Astyanax mexicanus: one gene and its partner. The main gene of each other region encodes a partner of the protein of the gene in region 2 in a complex. Links are inferred from orthologs where the notes say so. Each region holds a gene or a part of one and is shown on either strand. Other genes may lie near its edges.

Region 1 (7,386 bases), on a different chromosome or scaffold from region 2:
GAGGAGAACATGAACATGAAAACTGTGATTAAAAACAGGGTTATTCCACCAAATATTGATTTCTGAACTCTTAAAACTTGAATATGAACTGAACTTGTTTTCTTTGCATTATTTGAGGTTTGAATGCTCTGCATCTTTTTTGCTATTTCAGTCATTTCTCATTTTCTGCAAATAAATGCTCTAAATGACAATATTTTGATTTGGAATTTGGGAGAAATGTTGTCTGTAATTTAGTGAAATAAAACAAAAATGTTCAATTTATTCAATATATTTACCTATAAATAGCAAAATTAGAGAAATTGATTCAGAAACTGAAGTGGTCTTTTAATTTTTTTAGAGTTGTATGCTGTGGACATAAAACGCATGTTATATCGATATGGATCCATGTACAGCATTACATTATATAAATGTTTATATCTCACCTAGTTTACAAAATACTGATATTCACATATTGTTTAGCCCTATCTATGAGTCAATTTGCCATTACTGAAACAACTGTGCAGTTCTGGAATCATCTGAAAGAACATCTAACAACAAGTGTTTGGAGAGCGCGCGCCCTGTCCATGGTGCTGAACCTGACAGCTCAAAACACCACCCTAATAGATCAGAACAGACCATCTACCATATGAACGCAGCAGCTGAACAGACTCATGCTTCATTTCTGGATGAGGATATTGCTCCACAACGGCACAAACATCTCCTTTAGAATTTAAGCTTGATGCATCGACCCGAGCGGCGCCGCATCAGTGAACAACAAAGGAAGCGGCGCTCTGATATGAAAATGCACTTTTTTGTGTGTGTGCGTAAAACACATTTCAACGAAACTGCCAACAGTTACCATGACGACACGGGTGGAAGACCCAACTCCTCAGCTATCACAGAATGTTCACGAAACGTTGTGTTTTGGTTTCCTTTTGGTTGTTTTGTGGCACGTTCAGACAATGTTGTTCTACTTTTGTTAGAGAATAGTCTAACAAATTACCTAAGAAAGAACCTTATCTTAAAGTTTTCTTTAGGATTTATTTCTCATATGTGAAAAAAGAAACTAACGTTCCACTAACGTCCCTGGATTTTTTCTCATGATACAGTAAGAGAAAAAAATAAAACTGTAGAACAAATATTTGAGTTTACTAAACATTTCTATGTTCAATTTAAGGGTTAGTGCAAGGTACTCCTAAAGTATCAACAATTTTATGCTTACAGGAACGTTTAGGGGAACGTTCCTAAAATTATAGTGCACAAGTAAACGGGAATGTTCTATTTCTTACTATTTCTTCTGTCAAGCAGTATATTAAACTTCCCCCGAAGGAACCAAAAATTAACCAAAAGCAATCCATTCCCAGAACGTTCTGAAAACTTTAAAACCTAAAAGTACTGTAATGAATTTATGAGAACTACCAAAGAAAGTTAGCTCAAAATTGTCTGCAGATTTTTATTTCTCATGTGTATAAGGAAACTTTCCAGTCACGTTATTTTTTCTCATGATTCAGTTAGAGAGAAAAAAAAATCACTTTACATTTTACAGGTTACTGCAAGTTTACCTCAAAGGGCTCAATCGTTTGAAGAGTACAGGAACGTAAAGGTAATGTTTCTAAAATTATAATCAAACGGGATCTTTTTTTTATTTCTGTAAAGCTATAAATTAAACTTTTCCTTGAGAACCAAAGGTCAACATAAAATAATCCATTAGCACGTGTGTTACCGTTTCAGAATTCAAAAACTAACGTTCCCACAACGTTCTGTAACAATCCGAAATGAACAATTAGCTATAAACGTATCTTTTAAGTTAGTTAGTTTCAGTTTCACCAGCCCCTACCTTGCACTCCTCCATGCACGTCCTTACTGAGTAGGCATCCGTTACGTATCGCTCCGTCATGAGCTCAAACTCCTCGTATTTTTCCTGCGCGTGCACGTCGTAGCTCTGGTACGCCTGCACGCACGTGCTGCAGCGGTCCAAGTCGCCGGCGCGCATGGCGTCCACGCTGCAGTTCAGGAGGTCCGGCCTCGACCTGCCCTCCAGCAGATCCATGAGGGAGTACGAGTCGCAGAAGGAGAGGCGCAGGCGGGCCGCGAGCGCGCTCCACTCGCCCTCTCCACCTTCAGCTCCACCTTCAGCTCCAACTCTAGCTCCGGCTCCGACTAGAGCTCCCCAAAGACCCTTGCACAGGTGGTCGGCGTCCACGAAAGTGAGGCAGTTCTCAGTGGAGCAGTTCGCTATAAAAATAACATCTTCGTTACTCCTGAGGCTGCAGGGCTCGTGGCCCGTTCCTGTTCCCGTTCCCATCCCCGATCCCGTCTCCGTTCCCGTTCCAGAGTCCATGATGTCCGTTCCCAAGCTTGCGCACGCCGGCCCCAGGCGCTCAGAGAGCAGCCCGGTGAGGAAGAGGAAAGAGGCCAGTGACCGGCGCCATCGCCATCGCCAGGCCCTCTGACAGTCGGTGGAAATCGGCTGCGCGTCGTTGTTGTCCTCCTCCTCCTCGCTGTCGTTGTTGTTACTGTCGTTATTGTCCTTATTGGAGCTGGAGCTCCGACCGCGTGCGCAGCAGCACCACCACCACCACCAGTACCAGCAGCACCAGTACCAGCACCAGCGCCAGCAGCGCGTGCACGGGTTGGAGCCGTCGTCGTCTCGCTGCCGATGATCCTGTCGAGCCTCGCGAGCGCCGCTGGTCATATTTCGGGCGCGCACGGCGGCACCACCAGCAGCAGCAGCTGCAGCAGCAGCACGGGCCGACTCCACCGTGGGGGCTCCTCCGCCACCGACGCCGCTATGGTCATCGACGTGTTGGTCCGCCGCTGCCGGTACCCCTGCCTCTGCCGCTGCTTCTACCCCGCGTCGTGTTCCCCCCCACCGCTGAGGAGTCCTGCTGCTGCTGCTGCTGCTGCCGCCGCTGGTGGTGATGCTGATGCTGCTGATGATGTTGGTGGTGCTGATGCTGGCACTGATGCTGGTGCTCGAGCGATTCCAAGCGAGCGGTGGGTTTTACAGCGCGCATCCTCGACCCCCCGTGCCCGCGAGCCGCCGCGACTCTACCAACAGAAAGAAGCAGGCGCGAGGCTGCGGCGACATGGCTGGCTCTTCTCTTCTCCCACCCCCCCACCCTATCCTTCCCTTATCCCCCCACCTCCTCCTCCTCCACCACCTCCGCGCGCGTGCCACCCCGGCGTCCGGTCCCGTCCTGTCCCAGCACGGTCCGTCTTGTCTTCTAGCAGCGCGTCCGCTCTTCTCGTCCTTCTTTGCGCGCGCACGCCGTCCCCGCTTCCCCCTCCGCCGCCGCCGCTGCTGCCGCCGCCACACGCTCGAGCCTCCGCCGCCGCTCCTCCTGCTGCTGCTGCTGCTGCCGGTTCCGGGGTTTCTGCTCACGAGCGCAGGGACTGCTTTCAGCGCGCCGATTCTTTACGCTGGGCTCTGTTCTCTCCACATCAGCAGCCACAGTCATCTTGCTCTACTGTTGGGTTGCCGCCATGTTCGTCTTGAAAGCGCTTTATTGAGAGCAGCAGCGTTTGCGTCATCCCGGCCGCTTTGAGGGATCTGCCCCGGCGCGCCAGATTCAACCCGGGGTGAGCCGATACATATCGATACCGGCGGAACGATACCCGAACAGAATGCACAGGTCAACGTCGGCTAAATACATGAACTGTGCACAGAAAAAAAAAAAAGAAAAAATATCTATCCTACCACTTTGCCGACTACGCTTTAGGCTAAAAAAATACAGCCAGGCTCCTTGTTTTACATTTTTGTTACTGTAAAAAAAAGAGTAAATAATCACTGTCTCCTACAGTTTTAAAGTTCAAAGTCAACAAAAAACCCACTCCATTTACTATAAAACTGAACTGATGTTTTATTCTTCTTTTTTATTGCTTTATTTGGATCCTCATTATATCTATCTGCAAACAAAACAGACACAACATATCATACATAACAAATAACAAACAATACATCATAATTACAATGGTCAGTGTAACGTTTATCAGTTGAATTTTTCCGACCCTTTGAGGCTAAATTTGACAATAGAGACAATAGAAAATTGGGTGTTAACTTCATTATTAAATGTTTACATTTGACATATTAAAGATAAATTTGGGTTTTCAAATATTTTTTCAAGTTTTTTATTTCTGCTCCTCAAGATCAAATTTACATGAAAAAAGAAAAGTTTTCTGATATTACAATTGTTTTTTTTTCTGGAATTCAGATCCTAATCCGGCAGAAATTAAAAAGAAGAAAATCAATTTTTGTGTGTGCAAAAATTAAAATACAAAAAATTAAGATCTATTTTTATTTTTTTTATTCATATTGTGAGAGACAGAAATGAAACACTAGATTAAAAGTAGCCTCAAACAGCCAGAAAGGTAAACAGATAAACATTATACTGACCATTCACATAGTCATATATGTGCAGAAATCATTGTAATTTGTAGGCTTTCAGAAACTGCAAGGCAGACTAGTATTCCATGAAGAAGCACTCTGACTGAATCCAGTGATTTCAGAATAATAGTCAAAAACAATATTTACAATGCAATACCTAGTTATATTAATACAATTTCACAAAGACAGAAAACATTACACTCGAAACTATAATTACACATCAATATTTACTTAATAAAACATGCTAGACTTATATTGATTGGCAGTGTGTGTGTGTTTCCCTTTGAAAACAAGCCACAATTAAAAATATCAGCTCTACTCATTGGTGGGAATGCTTTTTTGAAAGCTTTTAATAAGTGCTTTCAACAGGTTGCCCATTCAAAAAAACAGTAGCATAGCAACATGATTGAGCTCATGAATATGAGGAAATCAGCAACAATAGCGGTCTATGTGGAGAAAGCCTCATTTAGCAGTGTTTATTTTGGTTGAAGTCAAAGCATGTCAAACTAATTCAGTTGTTCAAATGAATGTAATGTGCCCCGCACTGACAGACAGACAGCCCCTGAATACTGACAAATATTTAGATGTTCACTTCTCTCCCTGGTTAATACAACCTGTATCAGCAAAATCTCAACACCTCCAGTGACAGATTACATACAGTGTGGATATAATGTATTTAGGGGCCCTAAATGCTGTAAAAACTACAAAAATACATACTGTAATTGAATTTAACACTCATCTTTCACAAATATTAAGAGCCCCATATTTAAGTGAAGGATTGTTGAGTTTTTTGCTGATTAGAACTGAGCAGTTGATACCCAGCAATATTTGCATTTCCATTTTTCAAGATTTACTCTGAACTAAAATGTTGTTACAAAAATAAAGAAACGTTATCTTTGTGAGATAACCGCTGCTCCATCCCTGACATCAGAACCTATGCACTGTTTTATTTTAAAGGGGCTGAAGACACTTTCTGCATGTTCAGCAATAAATAATATTAATTTCACCTTTACGCATGCATATTATTGTCACAGGAGCCAAACACAGGACAGAAAAGTGCGGATACGATATAGATAATTTATTAAATATTTATCAAATTAACAAAATGGCAGCATAAATAAACAACATACCAGAGTGTGCAGCCAAAAAGGTCATACACAGGTAATCCAAAACAGAGTAATAGGGCAAGACAAAAGGATGGTAAATACACAGAAATAGGTCAGAGCCAAAAAAAGCTAACAAACAAACTAAAGAGCAGTCAAAAATACAAAAAGCATTGGCAACAAAAGTGTCAAAACACAAAATACGTTCAATACCAGGCAAGGAGTGAGTGAAAGTGAATGCTATTTATAGTGCAGAGTCCAGGTGTGTGCAATCAGTAGGAGGGCGAACTGGAACACCCATGAGTCACGTGATCCGGCATGTCCAGAGAGTTGAGTGCAGGTGTGTCATAGGAATTGGAGTTTGTTTCAGAAGCATTCAGAAGCTGACGAACAGTGACAGGACTGATACATTTTTGCATGATTTTTTTTTTGTATTTCCACTTGGGTCTTGACTGTACCTATAAACACTCCAACATTGCAAAAAAAAAACATCCATCCATTTTCTGTGAATCAGTTGAAAGAGTTAGGTATCAAGAATCATATGCTTTTAAGAGTAGTTTAAATAGCTACCTTTATTGTGATGTCACAATAAGAAAACATGCATAGAAACACCCTTGCACCACCCCTCATCCGTCAACCGCCACCAGAGCTCCACTCACTAGCTCAGCAATTTCAGTTATTTTGGTTCAGAATCTCAGACAGTGCACAAGCAGGATTAGCCAGCAGACTTCTTCTGACGGAGGGATCTATAGCTATCTAACCACTGTCTGTGGGAAGTCAGCAGTTGAGGGGTGTGTACGTAAACACTTTTACACAATGAGTGGTTTAACATGCTGTGAACGCTCAGCATAAACATTGCATAGCCAGTGACATCTTGTTTGCATAAAAGTGACAGAGCCCTCAAATGGCTTATTCTGAAAAAGACTGAAACTGACTAGAATAAGGCTGTGATTAATTATGTACGTGATTTTGTGCAAAGAACTTCATGAACTTGTTTTGTACAGTATGGCCCATAGACCTGTTCTAACTTATATCTATAAAAATGTAATTAAATGGTATAATATGTCTCCTTTAATGTTAATGGTAATATTGTCTCCATACTTTGCTGAGGTAAATGTCAGCTCTCCACCCTTTCATGGTAAGATATTAAAACAGAACAGGGTCACCATGAACAATTGAAAATATCTGCAACTGTAGGTTAACTATGTCTTATTTAAATGGCAATATAAAAGTGAAAATATATACAAAAATATATGAAAATATATAAAAGTGATAATACATAGTATAATACAAGCAATCCAGCATGGCATGGTAATAGCCAAGAAGACAATTTTATTGGTCTGGAATAAAGAAACTGCACCCAAATATAAAACGTGGCTTACTGAATAATTTAGTACACTCCATATGGAGAAAATCAGATATGAATGAAAGGGGGAAATTTGCTAAATTTGGTCAAATTTGGAACCCCTTCCGATGTATGTAGTTGACAAGACCAACCTATAAGAACCAACCAAGGTAGCTTGGATGCAAATGCGTTTAAAACCAGGAATAAATCACAAGGCAAAAGTGGTAGTCAAGGACAGGCAAGGATATTAAAAACAGAAATACCAAACACTGAAGGAAATCACTCGATAAGTCACTAGTGTGGCAATGTCTCACAATTAAACTAAGCAAGTGACCAGGTATATATATAAATAGTCCATGTAATCAGCTGATGGCCCACAGGTGTGTGGAAGGGGTGGAGTCAGCTATTAGTACTCTGGAGAAGAAAGTGTGCTGCTTCCTAAAAATATATAGTGATTAAGCTGGAAAAATATAATTTTTTGATGTAATCTGAAGTCTTATTATTATGAAGAATAGCCAAAACAATAGGCGCTGTATTCTAAAAAAAAAAGGTCCTTTGCTACTTGTCCTCCA
Region 2 (7,735 bases):
TATCTCTATATATGTCAGTTATGATGTATGAGCTTTTTATTCCATTTTCTCCCCAATTTACAAGACCAATTATCCAACCCACTCATTAGGACTCCCCCTACTACTACCACTAGTGATGCCCCAACACCAGAACTCCAACTGCTGCTGATGCAATATTGCCGAGTAGCATCACTGCGCGCTCGGAGGACAGCGCAGCGACTCGGTTCCGATACATCAGCTCACAGACGCTTTGTGCTGATCGACATCATTCATTGAAATTATGTGGGGAAAGAGCACCATCTACCCACCCAGAGAGAGCAAGGCCAATTGACAACCAATCATAGTGGGAGCACTTTAGACCACTGGACAATTTGGAGCCCTATAATGTGTTAAAATATTTTTAGTTCAATTCATTTTTGTTGTTTACCCAATATTCTTCCCAATTTTGCAACCATTGCTACCACTGCATCCTTACTATGCAACCAAATTGCTCAGAGGAAAGTGCAGATTCCCAGCTATGATACAGTGGGGCATCCAACAGATGCCTGATGAGCAAAGAGAGTTCATTTTAGCATGTTCTCCTCCACCAGTCTTACACACTGCTTTTGGATAACTTTATGCTGCTTTACTCCTGGTGCAAAAGTTCAAGCAGTTCAGCTTGGTTTGAGAGCTTGTGACCATCCATATTCCTCTTGATTATATTCCTGTAGTAATTTGGTAAAATCAAAGAAACTTTTATTTTTCCAGAGATCTATATATTATTAGTTAGTGCAAGATGCCAATTACATCTTAGAAAATATGAAATTAAATATGCAGTGTTATCAGGAAACACAGTTGACAAATATTCTACAGCATTCCTAGCTTAATAGTGTAGTAAGTAAATCCAAGGACATAGCAAAGCACCTTTTATTGTGGAGAAAAGGTATTTTTAAAAGGAATGCCGGCTCTTACACATACAAAGAAAGATTTGCAGAACATCAAAAGGTTGTTAAAACGTCTCCAGAGAAAAACATAATTTCATTATGTAAATTGTTTGTATCCTATAAAAGTCTGAAATGGAAATAAGCTGCTAGATTTAAAAAATAGCCAGTGCTACTAGCTAAAAAAAAAAGTAAGCGCACAGTCCTGATATGTCACTGAGACACCAGCCATCAGGGATAATCAGGGCACAGTCTATTAGCTGCCACTTCTAGGGATGGAAATGCCAGATATGTGGCACAATCTCATTTGAATGACTCACTGGTTTGTTGATCCAGAGGATGTCAGCACTGTCGGTGAGCGTTTCATCAGGCCCAAAATCCGTCATGGGCTGCGCCTCGACGCGCGAGCTCTGCTTCCTCTTCAGCATGCTGGGACTAGCCGTGCTATAAAGGGAGTGAATCTGAAAGACACAGCCACACACAGTACCAAAACTGACTCCAAACGCAGTTAGCACTGGGCTACGATGTTCCTAGCCGCTTGTGTTAAAAGCTAATGTCGCAATTAATGCTAATAGCTGCTGTCCATGCACTACTAAACTATGGCATTAAAAGCTCTACAATGGACTATAATAATAATCCAGTAATAAACAGTACCAATCAAAAGCCTGTACACACCTTCTCATTCAATGTTTAAATTATTTTCTTTTTTTTTTACTACACTGTAAGTTAATAATGCTGAAGTCATCCACACATAAGAAATCATGTAGTAAATTAAAAGTGTTTCTGAGACTGGTAACTCTGATGAACTTATCCTGTGCAACAGAGGAAACTCTTGCTCTTTCTTTCCTGGGGCAGTCCTAATGAGAGCCAGTTTCATCATTACGTTTTTGATGGTCTTTGCAACAGCACTTGAGGATACTTTCAAAGTTTTTGAAATTGTTTGGATTGACCGACCTTCATTTCTTAAAGTATTTTTTTTTCTTTATTTAGTTGAGTAGTTCTTCTCATAATCTGGATTAGAACATTACTCAAATAGGGTTATTCACTGTATACCAACTCTACCTTTTCACAACTTTACTTTAACTGATGATCTCAAACACATTAAGAGGCAAGAAATTCAAGTAATTAACTCTTGACGAGTTCAGCACAGCTGTTAACTGAAAGCCTGAATTCCAGGTGACTCTACCTCATAAAGCTGACTGAGGAAGCTGTCATCTAAGCAAGCAAGAGGTGCTACTTTGAAGAATCTAAAATTTAAAACAAATTCTGGTTTGTTTAACACATTTTTTTAAATTAGTGTCATATTTTTCTTAATAGATTGGATGACATTAGTATTAATCAATTTAAGGCATGTCCAAACTTTTGACTGGTACTGTATGACAAGCAAGCGTATAGCAAGCTCAAAGTTTAGCACTATTTCTATAAGTATTTTATACAGTTTTGCTACAAAAGGAGAAGGAAGAGTCTAATACAGGTATGCCTACACTGACATGCAGAACGAACAGAACAAAGGTCAAAGTCTCAAATCTGAGATATCTCTCCACGGGAGCTGCGCATTACAACATAAGAACACGTCTCCGCACCAGACAGTATGCATTGTATTGTTGCATGGCATAGGTGGAGCACAATCAAGCGCATGGAAACACACAGAACACGGTTCACTTCACACCAATATATATACTGACTTACCTGCTGCAAAGATCATGCTCGATCTTCAGCAATATAAACACACCTACAGGCAGTCAATACCGAGTTTCGCTTAAAACTACGAAGTAAAGGCCATTCTCACAGTGGACAATAATATACATGGATATCACACACTAACTGAAACAAAGCGCACATACCAACGGGAAAAGTAAAGCTGAAATTGCTCCAGCACTGCACATAACATGCGATCAGGCATACCCTGTAAATAACACACAACAGTTAGTCAACATGGCATATATGGTGTACCAACGTGTACAGTACGATTATATCAACAGATAATGTCCACCACAATCAGACAAGGCATATATGCGACATGGGGTGTTCTGGACAGATGGGGTTGCTGGGTCATGTGACTCACGGTCAGGCTCCTCATTGGTGCATTCATCCCCAGAACACAGAGGGGTGGAAACCAGTACGAAAGATAAATGGGCAGCAGAGCTGTGACTTTTCTTGTGCGGCTGTAGGAAAGAAAATGAAGCAAGAAAGAAAAACTCAAATTAGGATTTATTTTTTGTTCTAAAGAAAATATATAGACCTTTCTAATTATAACATAAGCAGGGGGCCTACAGTGGACAGAGCATTGGAGGGTAATAATTGTTATCAGCAGCATGTGGACCCATATGCTCTCATATTCATATATCACAAGTCAATGCAGTGTTCTTTATCATACATGGTTTATGGCAAAAGTCATGGGATACTAGTTTATTTGGCATGTTACAATATATGAACAATATATGAACAAAACAAAGCCTCTTCACATTTAAAACATTCATCTAGCACTGCTGAAAACCTCTCAAAGCTCACATTAAGCTGTGCTCCCAACTAGGGGTGGGCGATTTGGTCCTAAAATAATATCACGATATTGCATGGTATTTCTGCGATAACAATATAGTTGACGATATGACAAAACACTGAAAACATTAAAAAATGTCAAGAATACTGTAATGCCAATGTCAAAACCTCCCAAAGCTCCCGTTAAGCTGTATATAATATAACACACACCAACTATCTAACTATGTCTTTAGAAACTGTATATTCAGTAGGCTTCACTATACATGTGTGACGTTTATACACATTTGTGACATGTTTACATAACATTGTTATGTTAAATATGCTTCCCATATAAACATCTGATTTAACAAAGGCCTTATGCCAACCACAGAAACACAGGAACAGCCAGGGGTCTCTAATAACCTGACAAACCACCAATAGCACACACTTGAAAAATAAAGATGTACCCTCACTCAGGCCTTTGTTTTTATCTTAAGCTACTTAAGTGAGAACTTTTCCATCAAGTGAGAACAACTTACTCAAAAAGCTCTATATTGTCAAAAGCAATCTGCAAAATAGGCCTTAATTGCTACACTTAGCATATGTTGGTAAGGATTTATGGATGAGTGAAAACAAAATTACAGGGTGGGTGTGCTGTAATGTGGGAGTAGGTTGGAGAGAACTGCAATTAGTTTCACTTCTGGAGAAAGGACCTTCTCGCCAGAGGCAGGATGCAATCACTGGGCATATTAATGATAGCTGTGGGTGCCCCCTAGTATCACAAAGTAGTATGAAACTGTTTTAAATATGTAAAGAGTATCATCCAGGGTTATTTGCACAGTAAAGATGTAATCAGAATGTTATAACAATGTGGTTTAAAGCAAACTAAAAGCATTTTGTGACAAATTATTTGAAAGGCTTTAACTGAAAAGTCAAATTATTGCAAAAATTGTGTAGCCTGTAGTAGTTCTGAATAATAACCAGGAGGGTAAAGATTAGCACATGCCTCCTCCGATACTGCTGCTGATGTAGCATTACTGCGCAGCCAGCATGCTCGGAGGACAGCGCACAGACTTGGTTCTGATACATCAGCTCACAGACACCTTGTGCTGATCGACATCACCCTTTGGAGTGATGTGGGGAGAGAGAGCGCCATCAACCCACCAGAGAGAGCAAAGCCCTCTGTGCTCTTTCAGGGCTCTGGCAGCTGATGGCAAGCTACATGAACAGTTAAAAAGAGAAATTTATATAATTTATATTTATTTATATTATCAGTTATCTGTCCAGTATCAGTTATTTATTTTACAATTTATATTACTTTATTCCTGGATGTATGGAGATATTTGGAGTGCATTATTAGTATCATGACATTCTGGATTATTGACTTCTGATACAAATATGTAGTGTGTTCTTGAAATATAATGCCAAGAGTATCGTTATTACGAAAATACCATGAAACATTGAAATATTATTTTAGGGCCACATCCCCCACCCCTACTGGAGAGCTATAGCTACTGCGGAAACAGGAACTGAATTATGAATGTAAAAATGTGATGGGCACATAATGCATACTGGAAAGCTATAGCTAAAGTTATAGCTAAGCTATAACAAACAGGTTAAGTGTTACTAGGTGTAATGGGTATATAAGAAGAGGCGTGTGGGTTTCCTATTTCAGACTAGAGCAGCAACAGCCCCTCAGCATAATATACATAATCTGTATTGGAGGAAAACGTACACCTAGATCATCAGTATAACAGTATGGACCACCTTCATTGACTAACAGTGGACTTTAAATTGGAGGAACACGTGACTATAGCTAGCTAACATTAATTTCACACATTATAGGCCATGCCTGTCCTCTATAGTCTTGATTGTCTTGATTTTATATTAAAAAAAGCTATAAAACTACTCAGAGTAGATAATTCTAGCAAAAGTAGGAAAATGTGTTTGTATACCAAAAGTGTATATGTACATGGAGACCCCATCCCCCCTCCTCCCTCCCTCTTTCCCTGAGCCAACACACACACACACACACACAGAAACACACACTCTGAGCCGGTTGCCATGGTAACAGATGAGAGCAGGGCTGCCACTGGCTCAGGAAAAAAAAGGATAAATCGTCTTATTATTAAAGATACATACAAACAAAACACATTTACACGCTTAAAAACTGCCTGTCTTCGTTTTCAGCACCTACACGTTGTTAAAACGTCGCTTCTTTCGTTCTAAATACGCGTTTATTTTACCCAAGGCCTTTAGCTATAGCCTGTGTAGCACTTCCTGCTAAAGCTAATGCTAACGCTAACATCTACAGGTAAACAGCCCAGTCAAATCCCTCTATACGGCCCTCACAGCGAAACCACGGGTCCACAGGGCTAAACATCACCTCACAGCGCCGCGCCGCTCACCTGTGGGTCGGTCTGCGCGCCTCACTGGTCCGCTGGGTCCATGTTTCCCGCTGAACGCCGGTTATGATGGAGCTCCGGTTACAGAAGCAGCGGCGGCGGAGGGGCTACTGCAGCAGCGGCAGCGTCGGGCACGCGCCCTGTCCTCAGCAGCAGCAGCAGCACGAGACACACACAGGCCCTCCAGCACCAGATACAATCAATGCACACAGCCAGGACTACAACTATAACACACACACACACACACGTTCATTCAGGTATAAATCTAATATTTATGGAGGATTTAGGAAGAAACACCTGTTAAACTCTTTGAACCTATAGGTCATTATAGAATAATTAACTCTCTGTGGCATAGATTATATTTTTAGTAAGGAAATAAATCACAACACTTATTGGGGAGTTTGTTTTTCCTATGGGACATTTTTTTTTACTTTTTACTTTGATAACAAGTAGTAAAATAATCGGATGATTATTTATTTCGATTAGTCGATTAGTCAACGTTTTTTCCTGCCACCTCCTCCAGCTCTAAAAACAATAGAAACAGCTGAACATGAGATTTACAAGGTATTTAAATGTCTAGATGTTGATTAAATGTGGTAAGTACTGAGATTTAGTGAGTGAATGTGTAATTTGTTGTAAATGTTTGGGCACTTTTGGAGACACAGACTAAGTTGAGTGCAAACTGTGTGAGTGACTTTTTCTAGATCATCCTTTTTTTTTAAATATCATTTGATTGGCTAAATTGAATGATATTTATATCAGTGACGGCATTCACTTAAAAAAATCAAATTCAATCATGCATTATTGTAGTTCCCTGTATTATTGTGAGAGGGCAGTAATAATAGTGTAGTGTGTTTTAGGCCAGGTGTAAACTGGATCATGAGATCACAATTTCGTTCCACCCATGGAACATTTTTTACTTTTTATTACTATGTAATAAAACCACATATGGCTCTGTATCCAAATCAAAGGCAACAAATGCATCCTAACATTCCTAATATGTGGACAGATTCCACCTTTACCTAGTTATATCCACTCATACAAGAGCAGCCTTCCATCTGTTTGAATGAGCAAATACCCAAATACTTTAAACCAAGGGTTTTAACAATTTTAACAATATATATTAAATCACTGATATAGTCCGACAAAAATGCCATTAACAGCTAGTAACTTTTGGCATCATGATGTACAATGATGCAAAAGCAAATGTGATTAATCCATCTTGTTATAGCTTCTGCGCTTACTCAGATCTCCTCATCCAGGGGTGCTTTCCCCAATATCAGGCTGACCCTCCTCATTTCACAGCGTGAGCAGCTAGCTGATTGGCTGTTCATGTTTAAGGGTAAAACGAAAAAAATCTGTAAAACGAATAAAACATTTATCCTGCATGCTTTTGACAGGAAACACTTGTGCTGCATTCAGAATTGCTTCCTACTGCAGAAATAATGCACTATATGATGCGTCAGCCAATTTCTATTGCTTTTAGAAGTCTTAAAAATACACGATTATATTAAACACCTATAATGCATCACAAAATGTAGTGTTTAGACAATGTACACTAGAATTTCCAATGTATACCATAATGCAATGTGGGGGTGGTGTGCCAGACGTACTCAAAGGGGCACAAATTAAAATTGTTTGTTGTTTGGTAGTTTCCTAGTCAGTTCACTATAAATCAAATGCTATATTATAGTACATGCTTATGCTAAATGGCAAGAGTTTTCTACTACTATATATAATATAATTAATTTACATTGTATACTTAGTATATGTTCCTATATATGTGTTACATTGCTATTGTACATTGTAGGTCTATATGCATTGAAATAATAATTATAAAATTGATGGAAGGAACTAAAATATTAATTCACATAAAATGTTTATTTAATATGCTTTATGAGCGTATGCTAGCTAAATCACAAAGTACACACTGTACACTACGAAAAAAAATGT

What was found.
Region 1: the proteins of nalcn (region 2) and nalf1a are in contact, whole or in part, in a cryo-EM structure (PDB 7CM3), measured with the Homo sapiens proteins. The link is inferred for Astyanax mexicanus from reciprocal best matches to the Homo sapiens genes NALCN and NALF1. Residues at the interface, in NP_001337678.1 of Homo sapiens: Cys207, Val209, Asn220, Leu222, Ala223, Ile224, Pro225, Thr227, Tyr237, Pro240, Phe243, Tyr406, Glu409, Phe909, Ala1044, Lys1045, Asn1047, Pro1049, Arg1054, Ile1060, Arg1062, Ile1063, Asn1064, Val1065, Ser1066, Lys1069, Lys1080, Lys1081, Gly1083, Phe1084; in NP_001073865.1 of Homo sapiens: Lys278, Glu281, Phe282, Val285, His287, Lys288, Tyr289, Leu290, Gln291, Glu294, Tyr295, Ser296, Val297, Lys298, Ser299, Tyr308, Trp311, Leu312, Gln315, Leu335, Gln338, Thr339, Cys341, Phe343, Ile344, Leu345, Pro346, Asp347, Asn348, Asp349.

What each region holds. Positions count from the first base shown.
Region 1 is NC_064428.1:21,850,062-21,857,447, reverse strand, and holds the start of nalf1a (NALCN channel auxiliary factor 1), read right to left. Parts: upstream 3,070-7,386; 5' UTR 2,675-3,069; coding exon 1,817-2,674; intron 1-1,816. UniProt on the Homo sapiens protein: Auxillary component of the NALCN sodium channel complex, a channel that regulates the resting membrane potential and controls neuronal excitability.
Region 2 is NC_064418.1:3,881,926-3,889,660, reverse strand, and holds the start of nalcn (sodium leak channel non-selective protein), read right to left. Parts: upstream 3,065-7,735; 5' UTR 2,992-3,064; coding exon of another isoform or gene 2,965-2,991; intron 2,806-2,964; 5' UTR 2,786-2,805; coding exon 2,744-2,785; intron 1,361-2,743; coding exon 1,220-1,360; intron 1-1,219. UniProt on the Homo sapiens protein: Voltage-gated ion channel responsible for the resting Na(+) permeability that controls neuronal excitability. NALCN channel functions as a multi-protein complex, which consists at least of NALCN, NALF1, UNC79 and UNC80.